Drosophila melanogaster: one gene and its partners. The protein of the gene in region 2 interacts with the protein of the main gene of each other region in a biochemical or structural test. Each region holds a gene or a part of one and is shown on either strand. Other genes may lie near its edges.

What was found. Proteins that work in one complex are often made in the same cells at the same time.
Region 1: of the proteins of wts (region 2) and yki, one has a biochemical effect on the other in vitro, tested with the Drosophila melanogaster proteins (3 studies listed by BioGRID).
Region 3: of the proteins of wts (region 2) and mats, one has a biochemical effect on the other in vitro, tested with the Drosophila melanogaster proteins (2 studies listed by BioGRID).

Annotation. Positions count from the first base shown.
Region 1 is NT_033778.4:24,065,422-24,070,431, forward strand, and holds yki (yorkie), read right to left. Parts: upstream 3,065-5,010; 5' UTR 2,895-3,064; coding exon 2,044-2,894; intron 1,834-2,043; coding exon 1,742-1,833; intron 1,296-1,741; coding exon 1,140-1,295; intron 893-1,139; coding exon 840-892; intron 757-839; coding exon 652-756; 3' UTR 554-651; downstream 1-553. Other genes in the region: Gpat4 (Glycerol-3-phosphate acyltransferase 4), read left to right, coding at 3,779-3,913, 4,318-4,521, 4,579-4,821. UniProt on the Drosophila melanogaster protein: Transcriptional coactivator which is the critical downstream regulatory target in the Hippo/SWH (Sav/Wts/Hpo) signaling pathway that plays a pivotal role in organ size control and tumor suppression by restricting proliferation and promoting apoptosis.
Region 2 is NT_033777.3:30,803,559-30,808,238, reverse strand, and holds the start of wts (warts), read left to right. Parts: upstream 1-1,619; 5' UTR 1,620-1,951; intron 1,952-4,680. Other genes in the region: dj-1beta, read right to left, coding at 349-505, 572-891, 955-1,041. UniProt on the Drosophila melanogaster protein: Negative regulator of Yorkie (Yki) in the Hippo/SWH (Sav/Wts/Hpo) signaling pathway that plays a pivotal role in organ size control and tumor suppression by restricting proliferation and promoting apoptosis.
Region 3 is NT_033777.3:22,419,511-22,423,855, reverse strand, and holds mats (mob as tumor suppressor), read right to left. Parts: upstream 2,696-4,345; 5' UTR 2,268-2,695; coding exon 2,254-2,267; intron 1,889-2,253; coding exon 1,722-1,888; intron 1,661-1,721; coding exon 1,182-1,660; 3' UTR 554-1,181; downstream 1-553. Other genes in the region: pinta (prolonged depolarization afterpotential (PDA) is not apparent), read left to right, coding at 1-4, 62-260; Nop56, read left to right, coding at 2,900-2,902, 3,066-3,468, 3,534-4,345. UniProt on the Drosophila melanogaster protein: Coactivator of Warts (Wts) kinase in the Hippo/SWH (Sav/Wts/Hpo)signaling pathway, a signaling pathway that plays a pivotal role in organ size control and tumor suppression by restricting proliferation and promoting apoptosis.

The DNA.
Region 1 (5,010 bases), on a different chromosome or scaffold from region 2:
TTATTTTTCATTTCCTTGAAACAAAGCTGTGGTGAAAAACCCAAGTCCAACTCTTATCATCTATGAAAGCTGTTGAAAGAATTCAAACGATGACTAGCTTGACATCACGAAAATAAGTAATTCATGCTAAATTAGAAGAATATTTGCAAAAGTGACTCATGGGTAAGCATTGATAAAGAGCGAACGCGAACAGATTCGCAAGCGAATGACACCGATGAGCATGGATGTCTTTGGCTCCACGTAAAGCTGAATCTGCTGGGTCGGTCACAGATCGAACTCAATGAAGCTCATGAATCGCGTGCATTCTGGTCCAAATGCACGCCGCATTCTGGTTACTTGGTTACTTGGCTTGCACTTTACAATAGTCGGGGTATTCGGGTTTCGGCATGAGTCATCGCTGCTGACCACACCTTTCATCCACCTGAACTCTCTCTTCGGCGTTCGAAAGTCATCTGAATCAGATATCTTCTTTTCAATCAGTGCGTTCACTGATCGTCGGAAGCTTTAAAACCCAGAAACAAGGCGCCCAGTAATAATGATAAACACACAAATTCGTTTATGTAAAGAAATACTATAAAATTTGAAAAATATTTAATTTAGAATAATACAAAATATAAAACTTTTAGGTCTAATACAGATGTATACATTGAATTAATTAATTTTATACCATTCCAAATCGTCAGGTTTGTGGGAAGACGGCGGATTTACAATGGCCTGTGCGTCATTGAACAAGTTACTGCAAAGATTATCCTCAATCTGAAAGCGTAAAGTGGGCAAAGTGAGGTAGTGGCGTGGAACTCGGTTCGCCAACTCGGCGGTCGGCAACTGCGAATGCTTACCTGGAGGGAAGACACTAAGTTATCTGGGCAGTCGAGCACGCTAAGCCCAGATTCTGCAAAGATACACGGTAAGGGAAGGCGTTAAGTTAGTAAAGGCGAGGCATGGAGCGATAAGGAGTGTGGAGTGTTCGGCCTCTATCTCAAGATCAGTACTATACTATATAGTGAAAGCAGAGATGCCATGGGAATTACGTGATCGGCCCCCCGCCCACTGCGCACTCAATGTTATCTAGCGATATCGCTACGATATCTGTGTGTCTCGTTGTCTTACGCTAGTCGGGGTGGTGGAACGAGACTTACGCATTCTGGGATCATTCCATGAAGTCGTTCGATCAATGTGATTTATAAAGTAAAGATCTCCGGACTCGGTAACTGCCTGCTCCCAACCATCCGGCAGTGGACCCAAATTGTTAGCAATGGTCGATGTGGTAGTTTGTTTTGTAGTTTGCAAAACATCTATCGAACAAAAACAATGAATTACAAACCAAAGTAAATAAAAACAAATTAAAATATGTCTTCAACGTAATGCTGCAGTGTGTAAGCGGATGAGAACGGAGGGGCACTGGCGCCCAGCATGCAGCACATATCAAAATCAATTGGAGTATGCTCAAAGCAAATCCAATCGAGCTCCCACTTCCGAATGCCAAAATGATCAGACTCCAACCCAATCCCGAAAAGTGCATTGGCGCGCTCAAAATGGACGGAATGGACTCCCTGAAATCGGTTGTGTACTGTGCTGTTCATGCGTTAGTTGGAATGAGTTAGAGCCTATCTTATCCCTGCCTGGTCTCTAGCATTAATTAGTCCTCTGATGGCTGATTTAAGTGGGTTAACAATGAGACGCAGCCACAGGCAGTTAACGACTTGCTTATCTAAGGCATTACATCTAAGATAGAACCTACCATTCTGCTTTATTCGCTCGGCCATCAAGATTTGCTGCTGCTGGCGATATTGGATTCTGGGATCCTCCCACTGCGTAGATTTTGTAGTATGACTGCAAGTAGAGAGAACACCATTGTTGAGATTGCTGTTTTGGGTATTAGTTGAGCTAGTAATGATTAAGAGATAAACTTGAAAGACATCCAACGAAGCCAATGAGATTTCTGTGACTCACAAGAATATTTTAGTTTTCATAAGTTCATAAAGAAGACACGTATTAAATAAAGCTTCATGCATATCATTTTTAAAATCTGCCCAAACTCACTTCAAGTAGTAGATCTGGCCATCATTGGTCTTGGCTTGCTCCCATCCCGGCGGCAAGGCGCCTAGTTGGCGGTTCAACTGAATGGGGCTGATGACGTCGTAGGAGCGCTGCTTCTTGTGCACTGTCTGCATGGACATGGGAATGTCCTGCGACATGCAGGTGTTCATGGCGTCCAGATCAATGGCCGAGCTGGCCGGGGCGCCGCTGGGGAACTCTTGGGCACTGTTCTCTGGGAAAGTGGGCCCAGCGGGCTGCTGTTGGCTGCTCGGATTGGCATTCGGATTGTTGGCTGCTGCTGCGTCGCTCCGGGCGCGCACATTGTAGTTCTGCTGCAGCGAGGCGGGGCTGCTGCGGGCTCGGGAGTGATGTATCGCCAGGCGGCTGTGCTGGGGAGACGGCTGAATCTGGAGCTGGGGGATGGCGGCGATGGGCGACTGGCCATCTGGCTGCTGGACGATGGACGCCTTGTTCCCGATGTTGATGCTCGACTGGGAGCCCGCGTCGTAGGTGGAGTCGGCGCTGTTGGCCCGCGAGTGCGAGGGCGCCGGGGGCGTGAAGAAGGAGTTGGGCAGCTTCCGCATGCGCAGGGGCAGCTGCAGCGGGCGCTTGGCGTCACCCGGATTCAGGACGCTGTCGAATAGCGCCTGCAGGTTGTCGTCCGTGTCCTGGTTGACCCGCACCACCAGGTTGTTGGACTTGATCGGCGAAAGCATGTCCTCGTCGTCGATCTCCTTCTCGATCAGGCTGTTTGTATTGCTGCTGGCTGACATCGTCGTTAACATATAAAAGGCACTTATTGTATACAAACGAAAACTACATAGAATTATCTTAGCGATTAGGCACGCGCACATATATGTTCTTCCATATACGTATCACTCCATCGCGCTGCGCGAAACTATAACATTAAGGTGTTAAAAACTAAACTTCGTTGCAATAAATAATAGTAATAATAATAATTACGGAACTGCCAACATAAAATAAATTTATCCCAGTGTTGCCAGATGGCTATCCCCGTCCACTTGTCCATTCCGATACTAGCGTTCCTCATGTAATCGGCTTCGTGGCTGCACCTGCGGAATGCCAGGGGTATTCCGCAAGCCGATTACGACTTTTGTCGATTTCCTTTAGCTATAGCTAAAGATTTATTCTATATTTTGTAATTAATAAGGCACAAAACAAAGTAGATATTAAATTATGGTGTGTGTATAGCCCACACACTTGTGTTCCATAATATCAGACTATAAATTATTAGACTAACAATTATTATTTATTGGTTTATAACATTTTGTTTAGTGAAAATAAGTACAGGCAAAGGTCTGTCAAAAACACACCCAATAACAATATAAACTGATTGTAAATGTGCCTTGTTGATTTAAGTAATAAGTGCAGGTAAAGGTCTGTCAAAAACACATACCCAATAACAATATAATCTGAATGTAAATGTGCCTTTTTGTTTTCAGTGCACGTTCATTCAACCCTTTTCAAAACGATTGGCAGTGGAACAAGAAGCCGTTCCGTCTCCTGCCCGACCGGAATCGTCCCCTTTCCGTTTGTTCCCCGTAGAGATGAGCGCGGGCCAGGTCTGTGAGCACGAGACAGGTTTTTGACACAGTCAAGGTCCATCGCTAGTTCGGTCTACAGCAAAAAGTATTTTAACATTGTATATATTGGCACGACACAATTCGGAGGCATTTTTCGCTTAACAATAACTAATGTCGCATGACACAAATGTAAAATGATCGCCGTGCTGTTGGACATATTCTGGATCCCCATCGGGGGCTTCCTCTCATTTCTCATATTTATTTCCGCCATAAACAAATCAATCGGCGTCCGAAAAGCGTACGTGAACCTCCTCCTAAGGATATTCGAGGTAAATATTGCTTGCTTTCGTTCCTCAGATGAGTAAGCACCGATTTGAGGTGCTCCACTGCTGCGGTGGCTTTGCAAATGGTGCTGTCTTACCAATAGTTAAGCTATTCCAAAGTCCATAAATATAGTCAGCTTTTGGAGTACGCCATACTACGTCTGCCCTACGCAATTACTGCAATGCAGGCGAGTTCGAGAAACTATTGCTTGCCCGGAAGCTTTAAGTAGATTCTTCGGCTATCCTCAAGGAATCTGCGGGGCAGGAGTGCGCCAGTGCACCCAAGTTGCCGCTTCCCAGACACTTGTAAAGTGCCAGTCATTACCTCGTCCGACGATATGCTTGCGATAATCTTATCTGCAGATAATCCCCGATTCGACTCGTTAACAACTAATCACCTCTACTTTCAGTATGGTCGAGTTAGTATAGAGACAGCATCCAAAGAAAACCAACACATTCAAAATCCCAAGACTGACGACAAACAGGGAGTGCAACTAGTGGACGACGCCGATTCCAAAGAAGGCACCAATGGAGCCACATTGATTACCAGGGACGCGGTACTCCTGCCCCAGCCACAGGAGCCCGCTCCAGAGAAGCCAGTTTCCTCCACAAAGGTAAGGAGTCCGGCATTGCAATGGGCACCTGATTTAAACAACATTTCCCATTTGCAGGATGAAATCAATTTCGATTTTGAGAAATGCCTGGACTACGTAAAGTCTGGCGTGGAGGCCATCATCGAGGACGATGTTACGTCGCGCTTCGAGGCGGAGGAGCTCAAGAGCTGGAACATGCTGACACGCACCAATAGGCACTACGAGTTCATTTCCTGGAAAATCACCTCCATCTGGGTGTTCGGCTTCTTCATCCGCTACGTCATCCTGATGCCCCTCCGGGTATTGGTATGCTTCGTTGGTGTGAGTACATTCGGTTCATTTAGTGGCTTTTCCACAACTACCCGATCGTCCCGATTCCCATGCATGCTACAAATTATCCCAAAGGATACGCTTAAGTAATGTATTCCGCTTTAGACTGGAGAACAGCATCATGCATAGGGATTGGGCTGTCGAGTAGTTATCTTACAGTGTGAAAGGAAAGTGACTCAA
Region 2 (4,680 bases):
TCATGCCATATATGCATTTATATTTCATGACAAATTAAATTAAAGCCCATTGAACAATTTATTTTAACGCAGTTCAGTTGATTCATTATGATAGAATTATACTTCGCTCAAAACTAATTAAATGAAAACCGTTTGCTTCAAATAATGACATTTAAATTCACTTAAATAAATTTCTTTAATATATCTTTAACAACATGCCATTTCCTAGCTCTCCATTTAAACTTCTTTCAAATAGCAAATATAAAATTGAATCACAACTTCTGTCTTGAATAATTTTATTTTAATTCAGTTGTTGTTTGCATGAGTTGCTCTTGAAACAATCTGTTTTCATAAATAAGTGTAAATATGTTAGTTGTAGGCCACAAGAAGACCCTTGGCCACCTCCTGGACTTTCTCCTTGCCCGCCAGCTCCTCGGCGATTTTGAGGGCGAACTCGTAGGCGGTGCCAGGACCTCGACTGGTGATCAGATTGCCATCCTTGACCACCGTCTTGTCGTCCACATAGCTTAAAGAAATAATCAAAAGAAATGGGATGAAGATCATGGGAAAATAAACTTAAGAGGTGGTATACCTATAGTTATTCACCAGCTGGGGCTTCATTGAGGGATACGAGGTGAGGGATTTCCCGGAGGCGACGCCGTGCTTGGCCAAAACGGTGGGCGCGGCACAGATGGCGGCGATGAGTCCGCCACCAGACTCCTGGCTGCGCAGCAAGTCACCGACCAGCGAGGACTCCCCCATGGCATTGGAGCCACCCAGTCCGCCGGGCAGCACCACCACATCGAACTTATCCGAGGCAACCTGGGCCAGCGAGGTGTCCGGCAGGATCTGCACATCCCGCGAGCACTTCACCGCTTCCCCGCCATTCAAACCGGCTACGGTGACCTTGATCTATCATATAGTAAGTATAAGTATAGAACAGAGTGATTTAATGGAAAGGTTGAGAGCACTTACGCCCGCCCTTCTCAGAACGTCGGCGGCTATGATGAACTCCATCTCCTCCGCTCCGGGAGCCAAAATCACCAGCGCGCTTTTCGACATCTTGGTAAACTTAGAAAAGTGCCTTGAAATTTGAGGAAATCCAAAGAAAACCATGCAGATACGATAGCTTATCGATAGCGCTGTTCTGGAACGCAGCTTTGAGTTTTCCTTATCGAGGTTTCAAAAACTGAGCGGCAAACTAAAACACTTGTATAATTTGGTTTGACTTGCAGTTAGGCGACTAATTTGATGCATTTAAAACTTCTGTTTTTCACAGGAAGTTAATATTTTCATTCTTACTCAAAACAATGTTCTGCATTATATTTTAAAATATTAAGACTTTGAAATCAGTTGATTTTATTTATATGAGAAAAGGATTGCGTCTATGCTACGTGCTACACAGAAATGGTTTGAAACCTCATTAACAATTCTAACAAGTCTTGTTCTTTAAGTTAAAACCGATAACATTTACTTGCTCTCTATATTCTGTCGTATTACATAAATTTATATAAACTGATCACTGAAATATTTTTATATTTGTTTTCAGTATAATATCGATGTTTATATACCACGGTCAAATCCTATCGATACCTGATGTGGTTGCCAGACCAAGTACAGCTGCTCCTCCCTAGATCTCTGTCTATCGATATCGGTCTATCGATATGTGAACATATCTAGCACGACGGCAGCAACAAAACCACGAATTAATTTTACTAAATTTAAGCCAAACGCGCATCGGAAATGCCTGAAAAATGCGATTGAATGCACGCGAAAAGTGATGGGTTGCGAACGCGAGTGAATCAAGTGAAAATACGTCGGCAAATATCAGCGAATTGTCGTCAAAAGGCAAGGAAAAACGGAGAAAAAGAGGAAAAGCAATAAGTGCCGTGTGTGGGAAACGCGAAAAAGGCGAGAACAAAGAGGCGAAAAGCGAGGAAATTGCGTGGAAAACGTGGAAAACGCGAAGAAGGTAATTGCGGAAAATGCCTGGTGAAAATGCAACGTTTGCAGCTGGAATTTGCGTATCTTCCAGTCCAAAAAGAAAATGCAATATCTGTTGAATGTGTGCGAGTGTGTGTGTGTGTAAGCCAGTGCGTGTGTGGCTGCGCTGGTGTGCGCCCCATGTGTGTGTTGGTGTGCATTTCCAATTGCCTGTGTGGAAAAGCAAGGAAAACTGCACGGAAAACGCACGAAAAGCAATCAAAAATGTGCGGAAAAGTGCCTGAAAACGAAATGCGAAGCACACACACAAATGCAACAGGCTGTATTTACATATTTCGCTCTCGCTCTCTCGTGGAATAAATCAGTACGGCTGCGTGCGAGTGTGTGTGTGTGGGGGAGAACGGAGGAGACAAAGAGAGCGAGCGAGAGGTTGCTACACAAATCGGATTAAATTCTTCTGTCTTCCCTCTCTTTCTGGCGGAGGGTACTGGTGTCCATGGAAAACTATCAATCTCGTAGAATTTTTAACTTTATTCCAGTGTAATTTCGAATGCCAACGACATTAGGCAAGGTCAATGTATGCACGCACTTTTCTCGGTTTTCCCGTTTCCTCTTACCATTTTCCAACTGAAACAGCGCTTAATTGGCTGCGATATTCGTGTGTCGAAAGAATTACAAATTCGAGAAATCAACAAGACATTAAACAACGAAAACTGAGAGTAGTACAATTAGAGTAACAGCAATAACAATAATAATAGTGGTAATTGCGGGAATACAAGGAAAACATGGCGAAAACGGAGCAAGATTTGAATACAGTGAAGATCTACTAAAAGAAACTGCGAGGACTATTGTAGAATTGTGATATTTACTATAAAGGAAACTTTTGAATCATTGCAATTTGAAACTATGAAAATATTCCAGTTAGAAACAAATTTAATTTTCATATTTGATGGACTTAAGCAAAAAGAATGAGTCATACACAAATATCTAATAATCACAAAATGCTACTTTGATATGTAACAATAACCCCCACATATGGATATGAAATGGAAGAGCATATTCTTCATTAACCCACATAGGCAGAAGCCACTGTAGTCATAGCAGAGATCAACTTTGTGACAGTATGCGCGGTGTTGATGCAACCGTGGGCAGCAGCTGCCTCCGATTTGCATGTGACTAGAGTACACAATCAACGGAATGGGGAAAATCCGCGGGAGCAGAACAGTAAATGCACAGACGCAAGATGCAAATGCGAAATGTGGCACAAGTAACTGCGGCCCATTGTAATTTGTAATTAGAGGCAGCGCCGCCACTTCAATGTCAGTGCGACAATAATTTCTCAGGCGGCCCGTTTGTGCTCGCGAAAAAGCAAAAGCACGAAACACGAAGCACAAAGCAAGAAACGAAGGGGCGGGACATCGAGACCTCATCCTTTGTGGAGGCAGCCAGCCGAAAATTCATAAACTTAATTGCAATGAGATGCAGAATGTGTGTGACACAGCTATCTGTAGTTTGAATACTCTTTAGTAGCTAAAACTAGCAGCAACTTTATTGAATGGTTTTATACTTGCCATCAAAAGCAGACTTCAGTTCTACATACACTATTTTGTATAGAATGGAAGTAAACCATCGATTCTCTATCGGATTTCCAAATATTATGGTACACAGCTATGATATAAACAAGCCCACAAAACTTGCAACTGAAATCGAAGCTAAAGTCCAAAAAAACGACTCCGAAATGTGCAAAACTTTGTTGTTGCAGTCACTAGTGGGACGGACTACTACTATTACTACTACTACTACTGCTACTATTGTTGTTTTTGTGCTTGTTGGCGATGTTGCGATTGTTGTTTTTGCTTAAAACCAGCAAACAGCGGCGTCATCGTCAGCGACGCTGGAAAATCGCTGGGATTCCATTCACATTCCAGCATGCAATTCGCAGTGGATTATGTGAGTGTGTTGTTGTTTGTTGCTGCCTTTGTTGTAGCTGTTGTTGTAGTTGTGATAGTTGTTGTTGCTGCTGGAACAGGTGAGGCTCCATTGGCGTCGATCGTGTGCATTCCACAGAGCACACAGAGACACACACACACACGCGCGCGCATATAGCCAACGAGCAGAGAGCAGGGCAATAAATACCAATACAGTGGGCTGTTTTTGCTGTTGTTGCTCGCTTTTAAAAGTAAATGAACGATAAAACAAGAAAAGGAAGAGGAAGTTTGGCGCGGGGATTGTGACGACCATAGGGATACCCCGCAGAAAGTGTAGAACGCAATGGAGCATAGTGCTATATGGATTCCAGTGTAATCTTTAAACGATTAAACTCTTTTCAATGAAATGATTTTTGATACAAATAAAGTTAACGGATACTGAGCATCCTAGTTCCTAAGTCACATTGAAGAATTTTAGGCTATTTTCCCAAAGACCGTATATCCTAAGCTTGTGAGGGTGTTCGCTGATCTTGGGCTAATCCCAATGAAAATCCCCAACCCCCTGGAATTTTCCGCACCCCTTCTGCGCCCCTGTTTCGTTGCAATGCAAGTCGAGCGATGTTGACGACGAAAATGCAATTTAGCTCGTTTTTCTTGCTTGCTTCGATCCCCGCCCCCTTTTTGCCGACCACCTCCAGAGAGTGTGTGTGTGTGTTTGTGTGAGAGAGTGTATGAAAAAAGGGAAAACGAAACGAAAACAGAGAGATGGAGAGCGAGCGGGAGAAAGAGAGCAAGAGCAAAGGCGACCCAGCAGCAGCCGCCGACCCGC
Region 3 (4,345 bases), 8.4 Mb from region 2:
TTAGGTGGGTTGTATGTTCTAAGTCAAATTAGAATTTACTATATATTATCATTTTTTTTAGAATATTCATGACGCCCAAGATAAGATCGCGACTTTTCGTGCGTCGTGAAGGAACATCCGTGAGCTGCGATCAGTTGCCAAAGGAACTCGGTGGTCAGGGATTAAGCTATATGGAGCTGTCTGTGAAGTGGAAGCAGTTGGTCGAGGAGAACGCCGATTTCTATGTGGAACAAGACAAATACAAAAGCAAGCTCAAGTGATTGGGGTTAGTGTGGCGGCAGTGATAACAAGGCGATTAGCCGAATGTTATAGATTAGTCGAAAACATTTACAATGCGCAAATGCACAAAGGCGCATATCAGTTGTCATATTTTATGGAAGGGTACTACAAATACTCCCTAATTCCCCACTTAACCATATTTGTATATATTATAAGTCATTACGTTAAACCTTTTTAAAAAAGGTTATTTTCGTTGTGTTAATCATCAATGTTATCTTTTTTTTTTTGCTTAATAAAGTGTCAATACACGATAAACCAAACAAAAAAGAGACGAGTTTATTCATAATATTCTCTTTATTAGTATAAAACGTATCAAAAATGTTTATCAAGTCTACAATTATTATCAGTTATTGGGTGCTGCCGACCGTCGCCTCAAATTGCTGGGGTTTGCATTACAAAATCGCTTGATCCGCTGAACCGCGAGCAATTAGCGATAGTTTAATAGTAATAAATACATAGAATACATACAGAAAGAAAAACGATAAACAAGGAAACACGCATAGTTTGTGAACGTAATATTTGTTGTTTCTCGAAAGCGGGAGGTGTTAGTTATAAAAGGCGTGCTGTTGCTTTTGCTGCTTTTGTTTTCTCCTTTACATATACATATAAATATGATTTATACGTTTTTACGTTTCACATATAAAAATATAGTAGTTGCTCTGGATCAGCAATTAGCCCGCTATAGTTCGGTTCACATTGCCAATTGGCGGTTTTTTGTTTTCTTTTGTTTAGTGGGAGGCACCCCATGAAGCAATGAACGAAACATAAAAGTATTGGCGGTAACTAACTAAAGCGTAATACACGAGTCTGCCAGAGCGCTTTCATCACAAGTCCAACTGCAAGCGCAGACCACCACCACCGCCGCCGGAATCGCGAAAATTCGCGGCTCCATGCAGTGATTCCTATATCTGCCGCTCATCCTTAGCCGTCAGCTTGTCGATGAGCTCCTGCAGCGGGGCCAGTTCGCGCCGCTCAATCAGATTGAACTCCTGCACGAAGAAGATGAAGTGCTTGAAGGACGTGTTGAGATGGGCCTCCTCGCCAAGCGTCACCACCTCTGTGAAGTGCTGGTGGTAGATGTGCGCATACACGCGGAACAGACGCTTCAGTATGGTCTTGGCGGAGGAGTGAAAGTTCTTTGGAAACGGCACGCCGATCTTGGAGGGAAACAGGGTCTCGTCGTCCAGCTGATCCTGCACCCAAGTCATCAGATAGTCAATATACTTGGGCGCGCTGCACTTGATGGGCTTCTTTACGGTCAAACCGTCGGCCCAGTGGTACTCGTATTTCGGACCAGCCGACATGATGCCACAGGTCTCCTCGGTGCAGAACTCGGTGATGGTGCCGTACAGCATGTTGATCTGGTTGAAAAAGTCCACGGCTGCGAAGGAGTGGCAATAAGAATTGGTTATCTTTCGCTAGTTACACTATACTAGACTCACTGTTAACGGCCACCCACTCGTTGAGATCCTCGCCATCTGGAAGGGCCACTGCATTGCGCAGGTTTCCCGATCCCAGCGTGGCTGCCGCATGCTTCATGAGATCATATTGGTGTGTGCCTTCCGGGATGTTCTTCTTGGGCTTGAAGGTCTTGCTGGAACGGGAACCGCTGTGGAAAGAGAAAGGCAATAAGTCGCGGCCCCAAACAGCCCCACTCAGTAAAACATAATACAGTAAAGATTCTATAGATTGAAACGTAAGCGACTTCGTTCAATTTACACTCCCTAAAAGAAATATTTCCTTTTTTTTTCTTTTTTTAAATTCACTGAGGAAGAATGCAAGATATCTTTGAAAAGCTATTTTTTAAACACCGCAGACAAAATTAGGGAAGTTCCACTGTACAAGAGGTTGGGGATATCACCCCAAAAAGGGCAAACAAAGCCGGAAAGTCAGATGTGGGGCGGGGTGATCCAAGCTTTCTTTGTGCTCGAAAGGATTGCAGTTGCACTACGTTTTGCCCCCCTGAGAACTTACAACAAGAAGTCCATGGCATGCAATTGCTGTGCTTCGCCTTTCACTGAGCCTCCAATGGAATTTTCCTATGCGTAGACTTTTCCGGCGAGTGCCACACCGCTTTTTCGGCTCTTCTGTGTCGTGTCAGCAGCTTTATTCCGCCGATTTTTACACAATTAGCGCCGAATAATAATTAAAGAAAAGTGACTGGAATTCGCAGCAGGTTTCTTTCTCTGGTCAATTGGGAAATGACAATGATGGTATCTGTATCTGGCCTCCAGTTGGTCGGTCTGTTAACTAGTGCCGTAGCCCAACAGCTGATGCGAGCGGTTCCAGGAAGTGTGCCGAGCCAACTAGTTAATTCTGTTGTGTTTATAAACGCAAAAAATTTGTTATAAATAAAAATAAAATTGCTTTCACACACAGAGACAGTTGATGAAAGTGCGAGAGGGACAACGCGACAGGTTATCAGGCTATCAACGTGGCCAGCCTGTTAAAATAATTCAGTACGGTACTGCGGTATTTTATCTGGTATGTCCCTAACATTTCGCAATCGGCTTGCTATGGTCACACTTGAAGTAAGCACGTGGGAAAACAACTGTAGCAGCATCGTGGGTGTATAAAAATATATATTTCTTAATTAAATCGGCATATATTCGGCATAGACATGGTAAATATTTCAGTGCAATAATCATATATTTGAATTTTCTGCGGGTTGCCCGTGAAATGAAAATGTTTTCCCTGCGAAAACTAACCTACACACGCGGAGCACCCAAAACCACATGTGTCTGCCACCGCATCAGACTGATAATTTTTCATTTCCCCGCCTCCAGTCGAACCTGTATGTGCTGTACGAGCATGCGGCGGGCTTCTCGCTCTTCTCCGTCAAGGAGTTCGAAGAGGTGTCCATGTTCCTGCCCCAGGTGGAGTCCTCGGTGACGGACCTCGCCAAGTTCAACTCAATTGTTAAGCTGGCTGGATTTGCACCTTTCAAGACGGCCATTGCCGCACTGGAAAACATCAATGCCATATCCGAGGGCATAGTGCCGCAGGATCTGCTCTCCTTCTTGGATGACTTCTTTGCCAAGCTGAAGAAGAAGAAGTGCACCCTGGGTATTGCGGATGCCAAGCTGGGAGCTGCAATCACCGAGGCCATTGGCGTCCAGTGCAGTCACTTTGGAGTGGTTCCTGAGATTCTGCGCGGCGTGCGATTCCACTTCGCTAAGCTGGTCAAGGGTAAGCTACCTGCTTTGCAAGGAAAATCCTCTTTGTCTAACTAAAGCCTCCTCCATCCGATGCAGGATTCACCGACAAGTCCGCTGGCGTTGCTCAGCTGGGTCTGGGCCACAGCTACTCGCGTGCCAAGGTCAAGTTCAATGTTCATCGTTCCGACAACATGATCATCCAGTCGATTGCTTTGCTGGATCAGTTGGATAAGGACGTAAATACCTTCTCTATGCGGATACGCGAGTGGTACTCGTATCACTTCCCAGAACTGGTCAAAATCGTTCCCGACAATTACATGTTCGCCAAGGCGGCCAAGTTCATCAAGGATCGCAAGAACCTCACGCAAGACCAGCTGGAGGATCTTGAGAAGATCGTCATGGACTCCGCCAAGGCTCAGGCTATCATTGATGCCGCCAAGATGTCCATGGGCATGGACATCTCCATTGTTGATCTGATGAACATTGAGCTGTTCGCAGAGCGCGTTGTCAAGCTTTCCGAGTACCGAAAGAAACTGTCTACCTACTTGCACAACAAGATGAACTTGGTGGCACCCAATCTGCAGTCTTTGATTGGCGACCAGGTCGGTGCCCGCCTGATATCGCATGCCGGCAGCTTGACTAATCTGGCCAAGTACCCAGCATCTACAGTACAAATCCTGGGTGCCGAGAAGGCGCTCTTCCGTGCTCTAAAGACCCGCTCCAATACGCCCAAGTATGGTCTTATCTATCACTCCTCGTTCATTGGTCGAGCTGGCCTGAAGAACAAGGGTCGCATCTCTCGATTCCTGGCCAACAAGTGCTCCATCGCGTCGCGTATCGATTGCTTCCTGGAACAGCCGACTAGCGTGTTTGGCGAAACTCTTAAGCAACAGGTCGAAGATCGCCTC